3 linked regions of the Drosophila melanogaster genome follow. The protein of the gene in region 3 purifies or fractionates together with the protein of the main gene of each other region. This does not show direct contact. Each region holds a gene or a part of one and is shown on either strand. Other genes may lie near its edges.

The links.
Region 1: the proteins of CG11700 (region 3) and lqf purify together in Drosophila melanogaster (affinity purification with western blotting, with the first as the bait; one study listed by BioGRID). This does not show direct contact.
Region 2: the proteins of CG11700 (region 3) and Graf purify together in Drosophila melanogaster (affinity purification with western blotting, with the first as the bait; one study listed by BioGRID). This does not show direct contact.

What each region holds. Positions count from the first base shown.
Region 1 is NT_037436.4:7,526,521-7,532,753, forward strand, and holds the start of lqf (liquid facets), read left to right. Parts: upstream 1-2,259; 5' UTR 2,260-2,666; exon of another isoform or gene 2,667-2,678; intron 2,679-5,908; exon of another isoform or gene 5,909-6,093; intron 6,094-6,151; 5' UTR 6,152-6,233. Other genes in the region: ltl (larval translucida), read left to right, coding at 1-527.
Region 2 is NC_004354.4:15,756,461-15,762,633, forward strand, and holds the start of Graf (GTPase regulator associated with FAK), read right to left. Parts: upstream 4,190-6,173; 5' UTR 3,780-4,189; intron 3,735-3,779; exon of another isoform or gene 3,665-3,734; intron 1,858-3,664; 5' UTR 1,574-1,857; coding exon 1,396-1,573; intron 1,308-1,395; coding exon of another isoform or gene 849-1,307; intron 766-848; coding exon of another isoform or gene 1-765. Other genes in the region: CG8260 (uncharacterized protein), read left to right, coding at 1-765, 849-1,307; mRpL3 (mitochondrial ribosomal protein L3), read left to right, coding at 4,874-4,911, 4,971-5,076, 5,138-5,661, 5,715-6,135. UniProt on the Drosophila melanogaster protein: GTPase-activating protein for Rho family proteins. Essential component of the CLIC (clathrin-independent carrier)/GEEC (GPI-anchored protein-enriched early endocytic compartment) endocytic pathway.
Region 3 is NC_004354.4:6,280,751-6,285,886, forward strand, and holds CG11700 (uncharacterized protein), read right to left. Parts: upstream 2,826-5,136; 5' UTR 2,708-2,825; intron 2,531-2,707; 5' UTR 2,434-2,530; coding exon 1,528-2,433; 3' UTR 1,287-1,527; downstream 1-1,286. Other genes in the region: Top3beta (topoisomerase 3beta), read right to left, coding at 3,797-4,140, 4,224-4,617, 4,682-5,136.

The sequences.
Region 1 (6,233 bases), on a different chromosome or scaffold from region 3:
CAACCAATTACACACAGGAGACCACGACAACCACAAGTACCACAACGACGACAACAACAACGGAGACCAGTAGTCAGGTGGCTCCCATCGAGATTATTACGACTACAGCACCCACGACGACTACCACCAGCACCACAACACCGAAACCCAATGAAACGCTGCCCGTGATTGTGGAACTCCAGGATCCCAATCCACCGGACACTACAGTCAATCAAACTGCCCTCGTTCCGCCAGTGGTTCTAGATCCCCTGCAGCAGGATCTGGAAAGGGAGAGGGAACGCGAAAGGGAGCGAGAACTAGAGCGGGATCTGGACCACGAGGCGGTGGCCAAGACCGAGTACGAGACGGTCGAGTACATCCCCAATCTGGTGCAGCCTCCAGTGGGCAGTGATGCACTGACGCCGCCTCCGAGCAAGGCGAATGCGCTGGAGGAGGACTCCGAGTCGGTGCACTCTAACTCAGTGCACGCGGAGTATCCCCACGCGGCGCAGAGCCTCCAGATTCCCGAGGAACCGCCGGAGGAGTGAGTCCTCCGCCTGGGGGTTTGGCTCCTCGGGGGGAATCCCCCGAAAATAACCACATTATTTTACTGTAAATCGCAGAGGGATGGAGGCGGTGGAATCGATGGAGAGCGGACGGAGCAGCATGCAAACGGCGGAAGGAGCGAGTTTCGGATTTGTATGCCTTAAGTTAACTTAGTTCTTATGTTTTATTTAAGCCATCGCTAAATCGAACAGTTTGTCAGACCAAACGCTTTTTTGTTGAGTTTTTTCGTCGATTTTATGCAAAATTTGATACGATTACTGGGTTTTTGATGTAATCCTGCATTCGGGACAAACGTACGAGGACAGTCTTATGATTTAAGCTTATTTGTTGGGGGCTCAATTTCGCGTATGTGTGCTTTGGCGTTGGCAAGCGGAACTCTTTCGGTTTTCAATTTCACGGAATTTTAAACTATTTGCAGAAAACAATCCAAATATATAAATTATGTATTTTAAAATCTCTTAAATATCTAGAGCTGATACATTGATACATTGAAACACATCGAAATGGGTGATATATTTTCCGCTGGTTTAGTATGATCATAAAAAATAAATTGAAACAAACCGTGAAATTAAAAAACGAAAGCAAGACCGATAGAAACAGGAAGTTGGCGATATCGAATATGCAACTGCATATGCACATTATATATATTTAATAACTGTATACACGTATGAACGTTGAACATCTACAAGTAGGTACTTAGAGTTAAACGACAGCAACAACAAATCGCATCGAGCTAATGTTAATAACGAAAAGCACTCACTCACATACAAACACACAAAACCACACACACACAAACACAGCCGTAGTCGTGCACATGCACAAACTGAAAAAAATACGAATAAAAAAAAACGAGAAAATATATTGTTATCAGTTCGTTAACAAAATGAGAAAATAGATTTTAGCGTGTAATTATACGAAAATGAAAATGGTATTCTAAATAAAATCATAAATAAAAGTCGAGTTTGTTGTTCTCTTCTTAAAGAACTTGGCAATGTTCTTGCCGTTGTTTTTCATAAAATGGTTGAAACGGAAGTGCAAAGTTCCTTTTTTGTTTTTGAAAATGTTCTGTTGGCGCCATTTTGGGTAACCGCTAACGGTAGAGGTGGGAACTAAGATATTCGCAGCTCACAAAAACAAGAATCTAAAAACCAAATGATTATCTAATTTAACAATAAGAAAATATATTTAGAAGAACACAGAATTTTAAATCTTGATGTTGAAAATATCCATGCACAACTGTAAATACTTTAGAGAAGTAAAGTTATCACTTTCACGCAAGCAAATTCACCACAGTTTGGTAAGTTTGAGAATGCAAGTGATATCGATAGGTGATTTGTCACAGCTATCGATATCATCGAGTATCATGTTTAAAAATCGGGATGACAACTCAAAAATATCGGCGTTACATTTAAATTACTATGTAAACAACTTGTAGATAATTTTAACATTCTACTAATTAAAAGCTTAAATATTTATTGTACATATAGAAAAATAAAAAGAACGACGGTAGTTGATGGTCAAAGATAAATTGTTATTCCTTTATAAATTTTACATACCAAAAGCAAATGAATATAATTAAATAACAGGAATAATTTTGCTCTTCTGTGAGCTAGTATTTTTAAAATACTTATACTCCAAACTGATAAGAACCGATAGGTTCAGGAATAAATCGATATCGCGATATTTCGAGTGCCCATCAATTCTGGTCCACCACTAGTGCAAAGCGAAAAGCAGAGAAAGAAATAATAATTCGTGTTTTGTGCGCAGAGTGCAAAGGGTAAATAAGTTGCAATATCATCGCAATCGCAGTCGAGAGCCCTATAAACCCGATAGAGTGCCAGGATTTTTGGATATCCATATCGTGCGCGCAGCTATACTATTTTCCCCCTTTGTTGACGTCGCATTGTCGTCATCGTCATCTTGTGACCGTGTCTATTCGAGTCCGAAAAAAGAAAGAAAAGAAAGTCGTAAAATATAGAAAAGAAAACTAGTTGGGGAGGAGGAGTCGCACACACAGACACACACATACACAGCCGAGCGGAGCCCCCACACGCACACACACACAACCAAAGGCGAACTGCAGTGAAGCAACAAAACCAACAATAACAGAAACATTGCAGGTGAGCGAAAGAGTAAGTGGGAGGGGGCCACAAACATATTTCTGTCTCTCTTTCTCTTTGGGGCTTCTTTTTCTTAAATAATAATTTTCCGTAATTATAGATCCCCCTTGTCTAAACGTAATTCCCCGCTAACCGTTTTTTACAACATATGCTTATTGATAGCGCTTCTTTGGCTTTTGTTTTTTGTTGTTTTTTTTTTTATTTGATAACTGCCGTTAGCCGGTCGAGTGATTAGTCATAGTGGATCCAGGGTTGCCAGGGGCGTGGGTGGAAACGGGTTTATGTTTGCGAGGGGGGGCGGATGAGTAATGAATGAAGTTTCGCACATTCGTGTGCCCCCCAATCAGTGCGTCCGTGTGCGTATACGTGTGTGTGTAGGTGCGAGTAGTTCTAGTGTCACAAATGAAATCTAATCGCATTTCTGGCTCGTTATCATACGCACACAGCCACAGAAAGCACCCATGTAGCCATTAATATATTATATACAAATGATACCTAATATACGCCCGCATTTACAACAGATGCAGCAACATTGGAAAATGCAACAGTGCCAGCGGTATGGAGGAGGTGATGGGGGACGCCGAGGCGGATCGAGGAGGGGCCCGGCGATCGTGTGGCACAGTGGGCAGCATCAGCGAGCGAGCAGTGACCTTCGTCACCAGCGGCTAGCCCTTTCCACCTGTTTGAGGTGCTAATAGAAAAACATCTCAAGATAACCATAAACCAAAAGCAAACATTTCATTTGCGAAAGTAACGTAGATACCAGATAAGCAGATGTTTAACACAGACATTTTATTATTATTATGGTCTTTCGTTGTACAATCTTCAATGTTTGTTTGCAGTATTCTCTCCTTAAGTCGAAACAACCAAAATTATAATTTCCAATCCTCAGATCTTTGCGAATTCAATTCAATTTTTAAATATGTATTAAATTTTTAAGTTTTGTTAATCCCAAGATTGTAAGAGAATTGAGTTCAATCTGCAGGGTTTAAATAGAAAAGCTTTCTCGTTGTTTAATGATGAGATAAAAAGTATGTATTTAGGAATCATAGATTGTGGGGCTACTGACGGGCTTTCATCAATATTTTTCATCTTAGCGGAAACATGCTAAACGTCTGACAATAGTGCACGTCAAATAGCCTCGTGAATGTGGAATATTTTGCTCGCATTTAATTGCGTTTGGATATAACGAGAGTGATCGCAGACTGATCAGTACCACCGCGCATATCAATCGGCGAACAACGCACACGCTGCAGCTCCCCATTTCGAGTTTAGTTCGGTGTTTGGAGCGTTTGGGGAGCTTTTTCCGTCTCTTAGCTATACGAGTGTATACGTTCATTGAACCGCTGGCTGGCGTCAAGGCTCGCAGCCTTTGGAACAAAGTGATTCGCAACTCGTTGGGCATTCTGTTTGTTTTGATACCAACACAAGCGCAGCTGTATATTTTTTTGGCAATAAAACGAAGCGGTGACGTTTTGCCGAAAGTCAAGTGCACAGAAACACAAAGAAAGCTTCGTCATTGCCTCTGTCTGGCATTCAATTTGCTCAAGTTCAGACCACCACCACAACAAAAACAGACCGTCACCATCACCACCACCCACTTTTACTTGACTCTTGCACTTCATTTGCGTAGTGTTTTTTGTTTCGCCCGTCTTATACTGCGCGACATTTAATTAAATTATTTCGCCTTCCATTGGCCAAATGAAAACAAACAAACGAGGCAGACAAACGGCCCTTTTTCGCAGTGGATCGTTACTACGATCATCGGTCAATGAATTTCACTGCCCATTTACGAGTATGAGTATTCCCCCCTCATACCAATATTAACTCGATTTCTCGCATAGCTCGAATGCCTGCGGAACGGGTTTATCTGTGAGATACAGTTTTGAGGCGGGTTCTCGATGGAGTTTCCCCACAGCCGGCTCTTCTCGATATGTGTCAAGTGCGTTGTTTACACGAAAAATAAACAAAAATAAATGCAGACCCGTCGGACCGCATAAAGAACGGTGGTTATATCAGAAACTACAGCGATTCTTCAGCTACAAACTGGTTAATAAACGCCACTTAACTTAGCAGTATTTCTGAGATTTTGCTGGGGCCAGCTGGGGTTAATTGCTATCTTAACTGCCGAAAAGACAAAAATATCTTAACAAGCCTCATTATGTTATATGTTGTTATAAAAGTATTGCCCTTATTAATTGTTTTTAAAGTGATATCTAATCAAATTACTATATCTCGAAACAAGAAAGTGGTATATATTTGGATTTCTTAGTCTTATCGATAGCCTAATAAAATTTGGTATTCGCTTATCAAGAATATGTTTGCCTCTTTTATTTATTGCTCGATTATATTATTTTCAATAAATTTATCAACAATATAAAGTGTTTATAGTGAATATAGTAACACACGTACTTTGCGTTTTATCTACTTTTTTCCAAACAAAGCCGTAAAACGCGTGGTCTTACTTTGTACACATGCACGTAATTATCTTATGCTTAATCAGCTATAAATATATATGTACATATATTTGAAATTCTTAATGGTCGAGAACCACATTACTCTAAATTCTTCTCAAAGAACTTTCTTCGCTTTTGCAACAAAATCGATAACAATTTGATTAGCATTCTTCGCATTTAAAAATAGATGGAACCGCGCAAAGAGGGCGGTGGAAAATCAATTCATTTGCTATGAATTCTCGCTGTGCTTGTGGGTCGCCATTTAATGCATAATGCAGTTTGGTCTGAAAATTTGCATATCCAGACATAGTCGTAGACGTTTGTCTGTCCACTTTCTGATTCTTGAGCCCAGGCTATTTGCACTTTTGCGGCTTCTTGTTTCGGTCTGCCATGGGTTAAGTTCAAGCAGAGTCTCTATGAGTTAAATGAGATTGATTGGTAATACTCAAAGAGTTTGCTGCAAAAATAATATTCTTGTAAATATAAAATTCTATATATGGTTAATGGTTAAAATTCAATTGATTACAAGCACTTTCGCTGGCAAATAAATGTGACATTAATTGCTCATTTTGCTCAGTTTGTAAAAAATTATATCTTCATTTAGTTTTGTGCTGTGTATTCCCTAGTCGACTTTGAAATGTCAAGGGAAATACTCTTTTGCCATGTTTTGTTTTATTTTTTTGCCATGCTTTTCCTTTCCGTTTGCTTTTTGTTTGCCCGCAAATTGAATTATTTCTTCTAGAGGCTTTCGGGCTGGATGTATCTAGTATTGTAAAGTCTGGTGCGGTTTTTAAAGCAGCGCTTTAAAATCTCAGGGTTTCGTATCTCAAGTTTGGTTTCAACATATGCTTTCACTCTTTTTGTTTGGTGCACTTGAGTTTGGCGATTACTTTATCTATTAATTTGTGTGTTTTGCACCGATGCAACAACAGACACAACCGACATTTGACTCTATATAAATATGTATATCCGTATGTGTACTCTCTTACTATGTATTTTGATTGTATTTATCTTGTATCTCATATATAGCTTGCTTTGGAGCACTTAAACAGCAATAAACATAAACCAAAACGAATTTAAAAACAAAAAGAGCAAAAAAGTCTAAAGCCTA
Region 2 (6,173 bases), 9.5 Mb from region 3:
ATCCTGATCCTGATCCTGATCCTGTTCCTGACCCCGAACCTTTGCAACCTAAGTAAGCTAATAAATTCCCAATGTCCATATGTCCATTTCATCAATGTTAGGACACGCGAAAGGCTTTGCTACTTGGAACAGACATTTCTGAACTTTGCAAATAGTATACGAACACTGAAGGAAGATCCAACGGAGTCCGAGATTGTCGAAATAGACCACGAAGTGCCGCCAGAGGAATACCTGGTGCCTTACATCCAGAACTACGAGTGTGCGGATATAATAGTCACTGTTCACGATCGCGTCTTCCTTTGCCACAATATCATACTAAGTATTTACTCAAGGCGAATGCTGAAAATATTGCAGGAAGATGTTGACCATATTGTCTTTAAGTCGAATGATTTGAGCCCGAAAGGATTCAGCGACGCATATCTATGGATGATTTCCAGTGATGGCGAGGTTAATCCGTGCGATATGGGCGAAATTTTGAGGGCCGCATACTTCCTGGACATTCCCGAGCTGCTCGAGGCCTGTTGGGCGAACCTGGATAGGATAACATTCTTTGAGATCTCTGCGTTTCGCCTATTGTTCGAATTACGAGGCGCCACCAACTTGTGGGATGTATTCGATAAGCTGACTGGGCGCATTTCCATTTCAATTTTGCCAGTCGCATCGACTCGGGAATTCCTGTGCCTCAGCGAAACACAAATTTGCTACATACTCAAGTCCAACTTTCTGGCAATCAATTCGGAAATGGAGGCAAGTTCTATATCTATAGTATAGTAGAAGTATAACCATGATATATGAATACACAGCTTTTATATTCCGCCTTAATGTGGCTAGCGCATCTTTGGCCGCAGCGACGTTCGAGCACCTATAGGGTTTTAAGTCAAATTCGCTTCAGCTTCCTGCCGCCCCTCATGCTAAAGAAGTTCAGGAGTGAGGAACTCCATAAGATGCCCGAATTTAGTGACATTCTAAAGGAGTTTAGCAAGTCGCCCGATGTCATCACACTTCTGCGGGACTCGGTGTTTAACAGCAGTTTGCTCTTAACCGTGCGCAACAATCCGAGTGTACTCGATACGCATGTGGAGTTCACGGAGGTGGAGCTAATGGAGCCACGCCATTGGGTACAGGATCATACCTGTGACTACCATCGGAAGGTGACACAGCTGTGTCCAAATATGCGTTTCATAACGCTAAACGAATATCAAGAGTACCTAAAACGCCTGTCGATTGGACCCGAATTCAATACGTGTTTCAAGCATACCAGGGATCGGGAATCAGAAGGACAAGAAGATATGTGGAAGCATATGTGAATAGGCATTATTTATAAATCATTTTTTGTATACTTTAATAAACAGACACACGTTTTACGCCCTCCGGTAAATGGATTGTACTACTTACTCTTTGCCGCACTCATAAGATCTTTGACCTCTTTGATAATTCGTTTTATTTGATGACTAGTGTGGTCCAGTTCCTTTTCATGTCGATTTAAATTTTCGCGAAAGTCCGGACTGTCGACGATGCATTCTTCGAACTCCAGAGGCTCCAAGCCGCGGCGTACATTTTTGCCGCCGCCCATGATGTTTGCGTTTGCTTTTAATAATATTGAATTTGAATATTTGCTGTGATTTTCAGTTTAAGTTTCAGTTTTATTTAGGTTCTTTCGATGTTGCTTTCCACAGAGCTAAGTGCATTCGCAGTGACTGATATATTGTGATATATTGTGTAGATTTGTCGGTTGAGTTTCGAGAAAACTGCGGTGTTTGCAACATTTACAGCTGGAATTGCGCTCCTTTTATATATTTACTATTCAATGCAAATACTGTTTATCAGTTGGTGGATTATGCATATTGGTAATCCTTCCTGCAAAGACAACTGATATAAGATATCTTTTTAAACAACAAGTAGAGTTAATTGCGCAAAACTTGCATTGCGGCTGAGCGGCCAAGAATACGCTAAGTTACTTTGAGAAAATATTTTGTTCTAGCATGAAGAAACATGATTCACTCGATTCTTATCAACTCTGTATTAAAGAACTTGCATTCTCTCTTTTAGAGAACCCATTGCTTTGTGTGGTTTAAAAACGATATTTTGAGTACATCGCAATCACCGGAATATGAATTTATAGCCTAAATTGACCAATAATTAGCAAGTGAAGTCCATTATGTATTATATTTATTCGTTTTGATCGCGCAGAGCTCTGGCAATTGTGATTTTGATTTAAGGTCGGTTCCCCACATTCGATAAACTTTAAACTGTGAAATTCCGAAAATAAGAGCAGATCCGAAAAGCAAACTGATGAGATTATATAAAAAGATAAATTGAAACACAGTGCCACGATAAAAAGTGGGCAGTCAACGACTAACTTTCATCAAGAACGGACTATTGTTAATTTCTTATCGTCTGTGTACCGAGCAAGACCCACACTCTAGTAAATTTCTTATCTTTTGCAAACATATACATATGTACAAGCGTTTACCAAAAACAAGTTTAAATACACTTGCGAACACTTTCCTATTACAGTGAAACCAGCCACAGGCTGATAAGTCGTCGCCATTACATAAATGCAAAACCGACTTTGCAATTGAAAATCATGTTCAATAAAAATTGCGAAAGTCAGCCACTTGGAAAATACACTTTGAATGCCATTTATTTATGGGTGTATTTAAATCATAAAGTTGCTTACAGACGCCTGTTTACTACATTGTCATTGTTGTATATGTTTTTCTTATCAGATCTTAAGATAGATAGGCGCAGGCACGGAGAATTCTCAGAAATAATCGCCTAATCAATATATATTTTAAACAAATTTTAGTGGATTCCAGGCCCAAGTTATCAAGGAAACAATGACGCAGATAAATGTATATACACCCTAACTAAAACAATTCACAAAACATATCCCCTTTACGCAATAATAGTCTTTCCATTCAAATTCGCAAAGTACTTTTATCCGGCTCATAGGACCATTGATTACTGATAACCAGTTAATCACCTGTTTTCACTTTCTTTGACTACAACAACTTTAAAAATCCTTGATAACTTTATAAGCCTAAGAGATAGTTATATATATGAAAATGTTAGGCATTGAAATAATGCAATATATATGTATTTATTTAAAGCCGAGTTCAGATAGTGCAATTCAAGATCATGGGAAATTTTGTTGGCGAGTTTCCACTGATGGAATGCGCAACGAGTAAAAACACAGCTGTTGCTATGTATTTTCGCTAGATATACCTTAATACCTGTTGAATACGAACTTATGGTGGATTTTTGGGGCTTAAAAAACAGTTAAACATTCCGTTTTAAATTATCTTATCGGTTTTTTTTTACAGTTAAGCCCGCTTAAAATTGTTGCATGAAGCTAGGTATGTACAGGCATACTTGCATACTTGCATACATACAGATGTGCACCGCCTGTATTTGTATGTTGTGTACATTTGTTATTTAAAAATAACTTTAGTTTATGTTCGCTTACTGATAAATAACTCATATGCGCACTTTACAACACTATGTGCATAAGAATGTGTTGAAGGGAGGGGTGGGCGAGAGTTTTTATCGTTTCCTCTTTTTTTTTGCATAAACTTGTTAAATTTCGATGTACATATGTAAACATTCGATCTTAAAACAGGTTGCGAGGCCACTAACACCATAATTTCGATATCGGACATACCCCTGGGATGAAATTCAACTGCAGCACCAAATCCTTTGTTTATTTCGCATGCATGTAGTTGTTTAAAAAACTAAATAATATATATATATCAGCATACATATACGTAGATACACACCAGCACACATACATACGCAATGCAATGGAATCACAAATAAATAAATAAATCAAATCCTTATAAACGAATCGTCGAGGGGCTCATGTTTAGACGCTTTTCATATGACTTTAGCCCATTGGAATTCACTTATACAAAAATAAATGCTCTTAGTTACGAAAGGCAACCGTCGGTAGTTTTTCGCGTACCGCAACCGCACACACATTTGTGCCCGTGTTAAAATTACTCACAGAGTAAACATTAGTGTATGAGTAATTTCCCAATATCTAATGTTGCTCTGATCGAAGAACGCAAATTGGCCGTGTCGTGTCGCGCGTTTCGCATCAATTACGCGATATTATTCAGCATCAATTGCATATTTCGTTTCATTGTATTCTAAATGCACCACAATATATATATATTACTTTGACTGTTAAATCTCCGATTAGAAAAAAAAATTAATGTAGGTCTGATAAAAATACACAAGTTATCTGAACGTGCTGTTAAGTATATTAACTGTGCTGTTAAGCGCATCAAATACCCTGTCTCCACCGCGACACTAACATTTGCAGGAGTGTCCATAAGCTTTTGCCGTGCCATCTACTTCTCATGCGTTCCAACAACCACCTGTTACTTACTTGTTCGCATTTCAACGCATTACTCTCTCCCATTCTCTAACTTTAATTGACAGAAATGATTGGGAAACAAAATGAAAGCGCTAAAACTTCTTTGATAGATATCAAATGTTTATTAAGCGTCTAAAGTTTGCAGCATGCATAGCTTAGCACGAATTGTGAATCATCTATTTTGTCAATGAACAACATTGCGCGTCGTTACATAGAGAGGGGTGAATTCATTACCAAAATGTATTACAAATGTTACAAATTTATTAAAAACTACAATTTCTGATTTACATAGTTGCGATAATAATCACATCATGTTTCCACTACTCCAATTATAAGAGCATGTGGAATCGAAATTGACCAGAAATAATCGATGGTCAAGCAGCCGTGCCCCAAATATCGCTGATATCGATACTGTGGCCGATGTTTTGACAGCTCTTTTGGTTATTCTGCACCGGCTCGCTTTTATGCTTTGTTAAATTATATTATATAAGTATGATGCGGAGCGTTATTAATCAATTACTGGGTCTCCGGTGGGTACACTTATCGTTGCTATAGTGGCCATTTAGTAAATTCTGGTTTCTCCATTCAGGCTCAGTGGAAATAGCAGTGTTTTGGTTACGCAGGTGCGCGATAAGGGCCATTTGAGCAGACCTCGACTGCGGAATCCCCAATGGTTTCTGCGCAAGGAAATTACAGTATGTGACATATATCTTTTTATCTATAAACAAACTACTCATTTGCGTTTTATTGCAACAGAAATACAACGATTTGATGACGGCGGAGAACAAGCAGTTCGTCAACGAAGTGGGCACCAATAACTTTGGCGTTCCGGCAGTTATTAAGGATAGTTTGGTCAAGACCGCGGGCCCAACCGCCAATGAGGCTGTGTGGACTCCGAATTTGCGAAGATGCGGCGTTATAGCGCGCAAAATTGGCCAGTACCCGCTGTGGCTAAAGAATGGCGAGCGGATTCGCACCACGCTGCTGCAAATCGTCGACAATCATGTCATTAAATACATTCCCCCGGAAGAGTATTTACCTGCCCAAGTTCCCACGGTAGCCAACCTGCACAAGCGCGGCTGCATTCTCGTTGGCTCCGAGACCACGAACCCAGCTCTGTTGACCAAAGAGTACGCGGGCATATTCCGCAACTCGGGTGTGCTCCCCAAGAAGAACCTGGCCCGATTCATCGTCTCTCCAGAAGCCCAACTGGCGCCAGGCACTCCACTAAATGTCAACCACTTTCGCGTTGGTGACTTCGTCGATGTTCGCGGCAAAACGTAAGTACATACGTCTAAGCGCTGGTTATACGTACTCTACTTATATTTTGCAGAGTTGACCATGGCTTCCAAGGTGTTGTCAAGCGACACGGATTTAAGGGCATGCCAGCATCGCACGGTGTGACGAAAACTCATCGACGTGCCGGCAACATTGGCGGTGGTGGCGAGAAGGGTCGCGTCTGGCCAGGCACAAAGATGCCGGGACACATGGGAAACCGGTGGCGCATCATCAAGGGTCTGCGCGTGTGGCGCATTAACACCAAATATAATGTTATGTGGGTGCAAGGGAGCTCGGTGGCCGGCCCCACCGGCGGTCTGGTCTACATATACGATACCATCTTGCCAACGCGAAAGAATAAGGAAGCCCCACCGTTCCCAACGTTTTACGGCGAGCCGCAGCAAGATGGGGATGATGTGTGGTACGAACAGGTGCACAACTTCAAAAGCGAGTCAATAACGTATGAAAACGAATAACTTTAGTGCTTAAGGTATTATAGAAACCTAATTGTTTG
Region 3 (5,136 bases):
ATGGTGAACGTGGTGATCTGGGGGGATTCCCTCCTTGTCTAGGATCTTGGCCTTGACGTTCCCAATGGTATCGGATGGTCCAACCTCCAAAGTGATGGTCTTGCCGGTCAGAGTCTTAAAGAAAATTTGCATATTGGCTGCGAGTGGAGAAATGGAAAAGGAAAAAAGTTGGCTGAGTAATGGAAAGTGGAAGGAAATTGATTTTCTGCGTAGTGACCCAATTCCCGCGACCCAGAAGAGTATTTTAGCATACACATACAGAAAACAAACATTATTGGTTTTTTCGTTAATTTACAGTAAATTTAGGTTTGGTGACTAATCTCTAACTTAGTCAAAAAAAAATAATAATAAAATCCCCTGGAACTGGGCATACACACACACACACACACACACGACAAGTGTGTTCATGCTCAAATTCGAATTTGGATTAATTAATTTGAATTAAAATTAAAATTTGAATTAAGAATTTAAACATGTTTTGATTCTTTCGGAGCGGAACAACCTCTTAGAAAGGGAAAAGGCTTAAAGGTCGCGGACAGACAACTAATCATCCTCTCGCCGTTCTGATGCCTAAGCAAAGGCTCTGGTGTCCGATTAGAGGCGGCATAAACCTCCACCGGTAAAACGCCAGGGAGAAATCCGTGGCCCACAATGGATCCCTTTCTAACGTTGGTGACCAACAAGCCGTAGTCCGCCCATTAGATCAGATGGACAGAACAGGGGAGGCAGTGCCCGATCCCAACGACCCGTTCAGGAGGAGCTACAGCCTATCGAGATCCCCTACAAGAGGAGTCCGAACTCCAATTCACGGAGCGAGGGGTGAGCAAGCAGCCGAAAACTAGCGACTGCAGTGCAGCTGTAGATGTGGAGACTTTGGCCCCTACAGCTTCTATGACTGCCACAAGCCAGAAGACGATGGACTTCATTAGCGTGCCTCCTCAAGGGCGGGAACAAAGTCCCCATCACGATCTCCGCATCGCTCGTCGGATCTGACCATGACCTGCTCACCGATAAAATACTTTGACTGGCAGTGCCGGTGAGCTTGACAAGGACAGGAGAGAGATCAGAGATTTTTGTTTAGTACGTAGGCATAATTCTCTAGCTGAGAGTTATGAATCGTGCATGCCATCTACGGACGGTGGACGGTATCTTTGAATTTCATTTTCCTGCCGTATATAAAAAAAACACACAGATGCATGGAATGCACCCTTTTTCGCTTACTGCACTTGTTGCTTCGGCATTTTAAAAGCAACTAAAAAAAACTATGAAACACTTGCCAAACTAACCGGAATTTTTTTCCTGTTTCGCACAGAAAAGCTAATTTATTTCTTTACATTTGGTCTGCACTTTTTGAAATATTCAAAAACTTGCTTTCTTCACTTGCTCGGACGTCCGCTCTCTACGACTTTTTCACAGCTTACGATTCGTTTTACAGCAGCGCGCTGGTATTTATAGGTATAGGTATAAGTTGACTGGAAATTCGCCGCCTGCTCTCTCCCTCACGGTGGGTTAATTTGTTTTCGCTCTCTACCACTTAAAGTGACTGTGAAGGGTCGACTCCTTCTGGATGTTGTAGTCGGACAGAGTACGTCCGTCCTCCAGCTGCTTTCCGGCGAAAATCAAACGCTGATGATCTGGGGGGATTCCATCCTTGTCGTGGATCCTGGCTTTGACGTGTTTGATGGTATCGGATGGCTCAACCTCCAAGGTGATGGTCTTGCCAGTGAGGGTCTTCACAAAGATCTGCATGCCACCACGCAGACGCAGGACCAAGTGAAGGGTCGATTCCTTCTGGATGTTGTAATCGGACAGAGTGCGTCCGTCCTCCAACTGCTTTCCGGCGAAGATCAAACGCTGTTGATCTGGGGGGATTCCCTCCTTGTCGTGGATCCTGGCCTTAACGTTTTCAATGCTATCGGATGGCTCGACCTCCAAGGTGATGGTCTTGCCAGTGAGGGTCTTCACAAAGATCTGCATGCCACCACGCAGACGCAGGACCAAGTAAATGGTCGACTCCTTCTGGATGTTGTAGTCGGACAGAGTGCGTCCGTTCTCCAGGTGCTTTCCGCCGAAGATCAAACGCTGATGCTCTGGGGGGTTTTCCTCCTTGTCCTGTATCTTGGCTTTGACGTTTTCGATGGTATCGGATGGCTCGACCTCCAAGGTGATGGTCTTGCCAGTGAGGGTCTTCACGAAGATTTGCATGCCACCCCGCAGACGCAGGACCAAGTAAATGGTCGACTCCTTCTGGATGTTGTAGTCGGACAGAGTGCGTCCGTTCTCCAGGTGCTTTCCGCCGAAGATCAAACGCTGATGCTCTGGGGGATTTTCCTCCTTGTCCTGTATCTTGGCTTTGACGTTTTCGATGGTATCGGATGGCTCGACCTCCAAGGTGATGGTCTTGCCAGTGAGGGTCTTAACGAAGATCTGCATGCCACCACGCAGACGCAGGACCAAGTGAAGGGGATGTTGTAGTCAGACAGAGTGCTTCCGCCCTCCAGTTGCTTTAGTTGTGGTGACTAATCTCTAACTTCGTTAAAAAAAAATAAGATCCTCTGGAACTGGGCATACACACACACACGCACACACACACACACACACACACACACACAGATAGAAGCATGGAAAGTACCGTTTTTCGTTTGCTGCTTTGCCATTTTCAATGCAACTATGAAAAACTATGAAGCACTTGCCAAACTAAACTCACCTTTTTTTATTGTTTCGCACACAAAAGTTAGTTTATTTCTTTACTTTTGGTCGGCACTTTTTGAAATATTCAAAAACTAGGTTTTTTCACTTGCTCGGACGTCCGCTCTCTACGACTTTCACACAGCTTATGATTCGTTTCGCAGCCCCGCTCTGGTATTTATAGGCAAGCTGACTGGAAATTCGCCGCCTGCTCTCTCGATCACTCGGACGGTAGGTTACTTTGTTTTCGCTCTCTGCCGCTTAAAGTGATTTTGGTCAACAGCCTTTAGACAATTTCCAATTTCCCCACCAACACACTCGCAAATAAGCCAGTCTGCGTACACAGATATTTACATATGTATGCGACTTAATGCATCTTGAAAGTTCCTAGAATGGAAAGGGCTGATGAAAACTAATAGTAAACGTTATTAACTTTTTGAGTACAAACTTTAAAGATATAAGATAATATACACAATTATACAAATAATTGTCATGACTTTCTCATACTAACATTCCAGTGTACATGTATTCAAATGTACCCCGTGCATAAATATTAAAAAAATAAATTGTACAAAGTCATTAAAAGCAATCCTTTAAAATAACACAAAAACCCTTTCTCAAGAAAATACATGGGGGTCCGCCTTTGTGACCTAAATTAAGCCAATTTCCGACCAGTGAATGTAAGGGTACAGAGAAATTCAAATGTATTTACTCAATTTTTATTTATTTCTGTATAGTTTACCCCTACATATGAACATTTTTTTTATTTATACTTTAAAAACTCTTAAAACTAAACAAAATAAAGTTTTTCCTATAAAAAATTGAAGATTTTTTGGAATTGGTAGCTTCTTACCATAAAATAGTTCCAAGTTACACGAGATTTCATTAAGTTGCTTTATATTAAGAAATAAATTAATGTATTTATGGATACAAATATAAGAAATGTTTTACAATTATGGAATTTAAAAAAATGCTACCCTAATATTTATTTATGTCCAAAGCCCCTTAAAGACAGAATGAAATGGAAATTTTATTTATACAATTTCGTTTTTATTAGGCTTTTTTTTTCTTGTTTAGTTATTGTTCTTCTAAATGCAATTCAGTGTCCTCAAACGAAATACGACGCCAGTTGTCCCATCTTATCCTTGGCCACTCGACTGCCACGCACCCCGCCCCCAGCATTAGGTCCACCGCCAGCCGTAACCGCTCCTCCGGAGCCAAAAGCCGCCCCGCCCATTCCGCCACCGCCTCGACCTGCCTTGCCGCCACGGAAGCCGCCGCCACTGCGAACTGGTCTGGATGCCACCGCCCGATGCTTCTCGACCAAGTGCGAGAAGTCTGCGGAGCAGAAGATGCAGCCGCTCTTCTCCTCGCTTCCGTCCTTGAACTTGCTCTTGTCCGACTTGTAGACCACATTCACCTGCTGGGCGCCACACTCCTGGCACTTGGCCTCTGCAAAATATAATCAAATGTTTGTATAATCGTCTCACAAATGACATAAGGGGGGTTGTGTGAGGGTAGCAACGCCAACGTACCTTCCACCGTGATCTTGGTGGCTCCCTTGAAGCAGTTGATGATCACGTCGCAGCGATTGCAGCCCAGCTTCCAGGTTGGCGCAAGCGTACAATCGAGCACCAGGACCCCGGTGGGGCACTCCACGCAGCTGGAGATGCCCAGCGTGTTCAGCGAGTGCGGGCAGTTGGCGTTCGTGCAGGTGTTGCAGCCCCCCAAGTGGGGCATGTCGCTGAACGGCGGATGGTTGTAACAGTACGGGCAGAACGGATACGAACGCCCCTTCACGCCAGTGGAGAAAGCCAGCAGATCAAAGTCGTCCAGCGGGCACTTGAACTCGCGATACACCTTCACATTGCCAATGGGCAGGGCGTATGTCTCATCGCAATGAGAGCAGTGCAATCTCGCCGGTTTGGTCTGCAATTAAACGTTAGCAGGGAGATTACAAGTTGAACGGTGACTGACAGGCAGATTGACCCACCTGTATGTACTTCATGTAGCGCCTACACTTGCCGCAGCGCGAGTGCGCCTTGCCCGACTCGGCCAGCGGCGAGAAGGATACCTCAAACAGTGCGTCCATGCTGTCGATGTTCTTCACAAAGTACATAAACTTCAGCTTGAAAATCTTGATGGCGTGTCGCAGAACATCCTGAAAGTTAGCCGATCCCTGGGCAATCAGTGTCAGCATGCGCTCCACCTCCGTTCGCATGGTGGGCAGCACCAGTTCCGGATCGATCTTCTGATAGCCGTGGACCAGCACAATGCCCAGCGTCGTTGGCATCAGCTTGCGACCGTTCTCAATGTGCACATAGTTGCGCTGGCAGATGTTGTTGATGTGCACCGGTATGGAGGCATCCGTCCCGATGCCGTGCTCCTCCATCAGTGTGATTAGCTCCGATTCGGTGAGATAATCCGGCGGTCCTGTCTGGCTTTCGA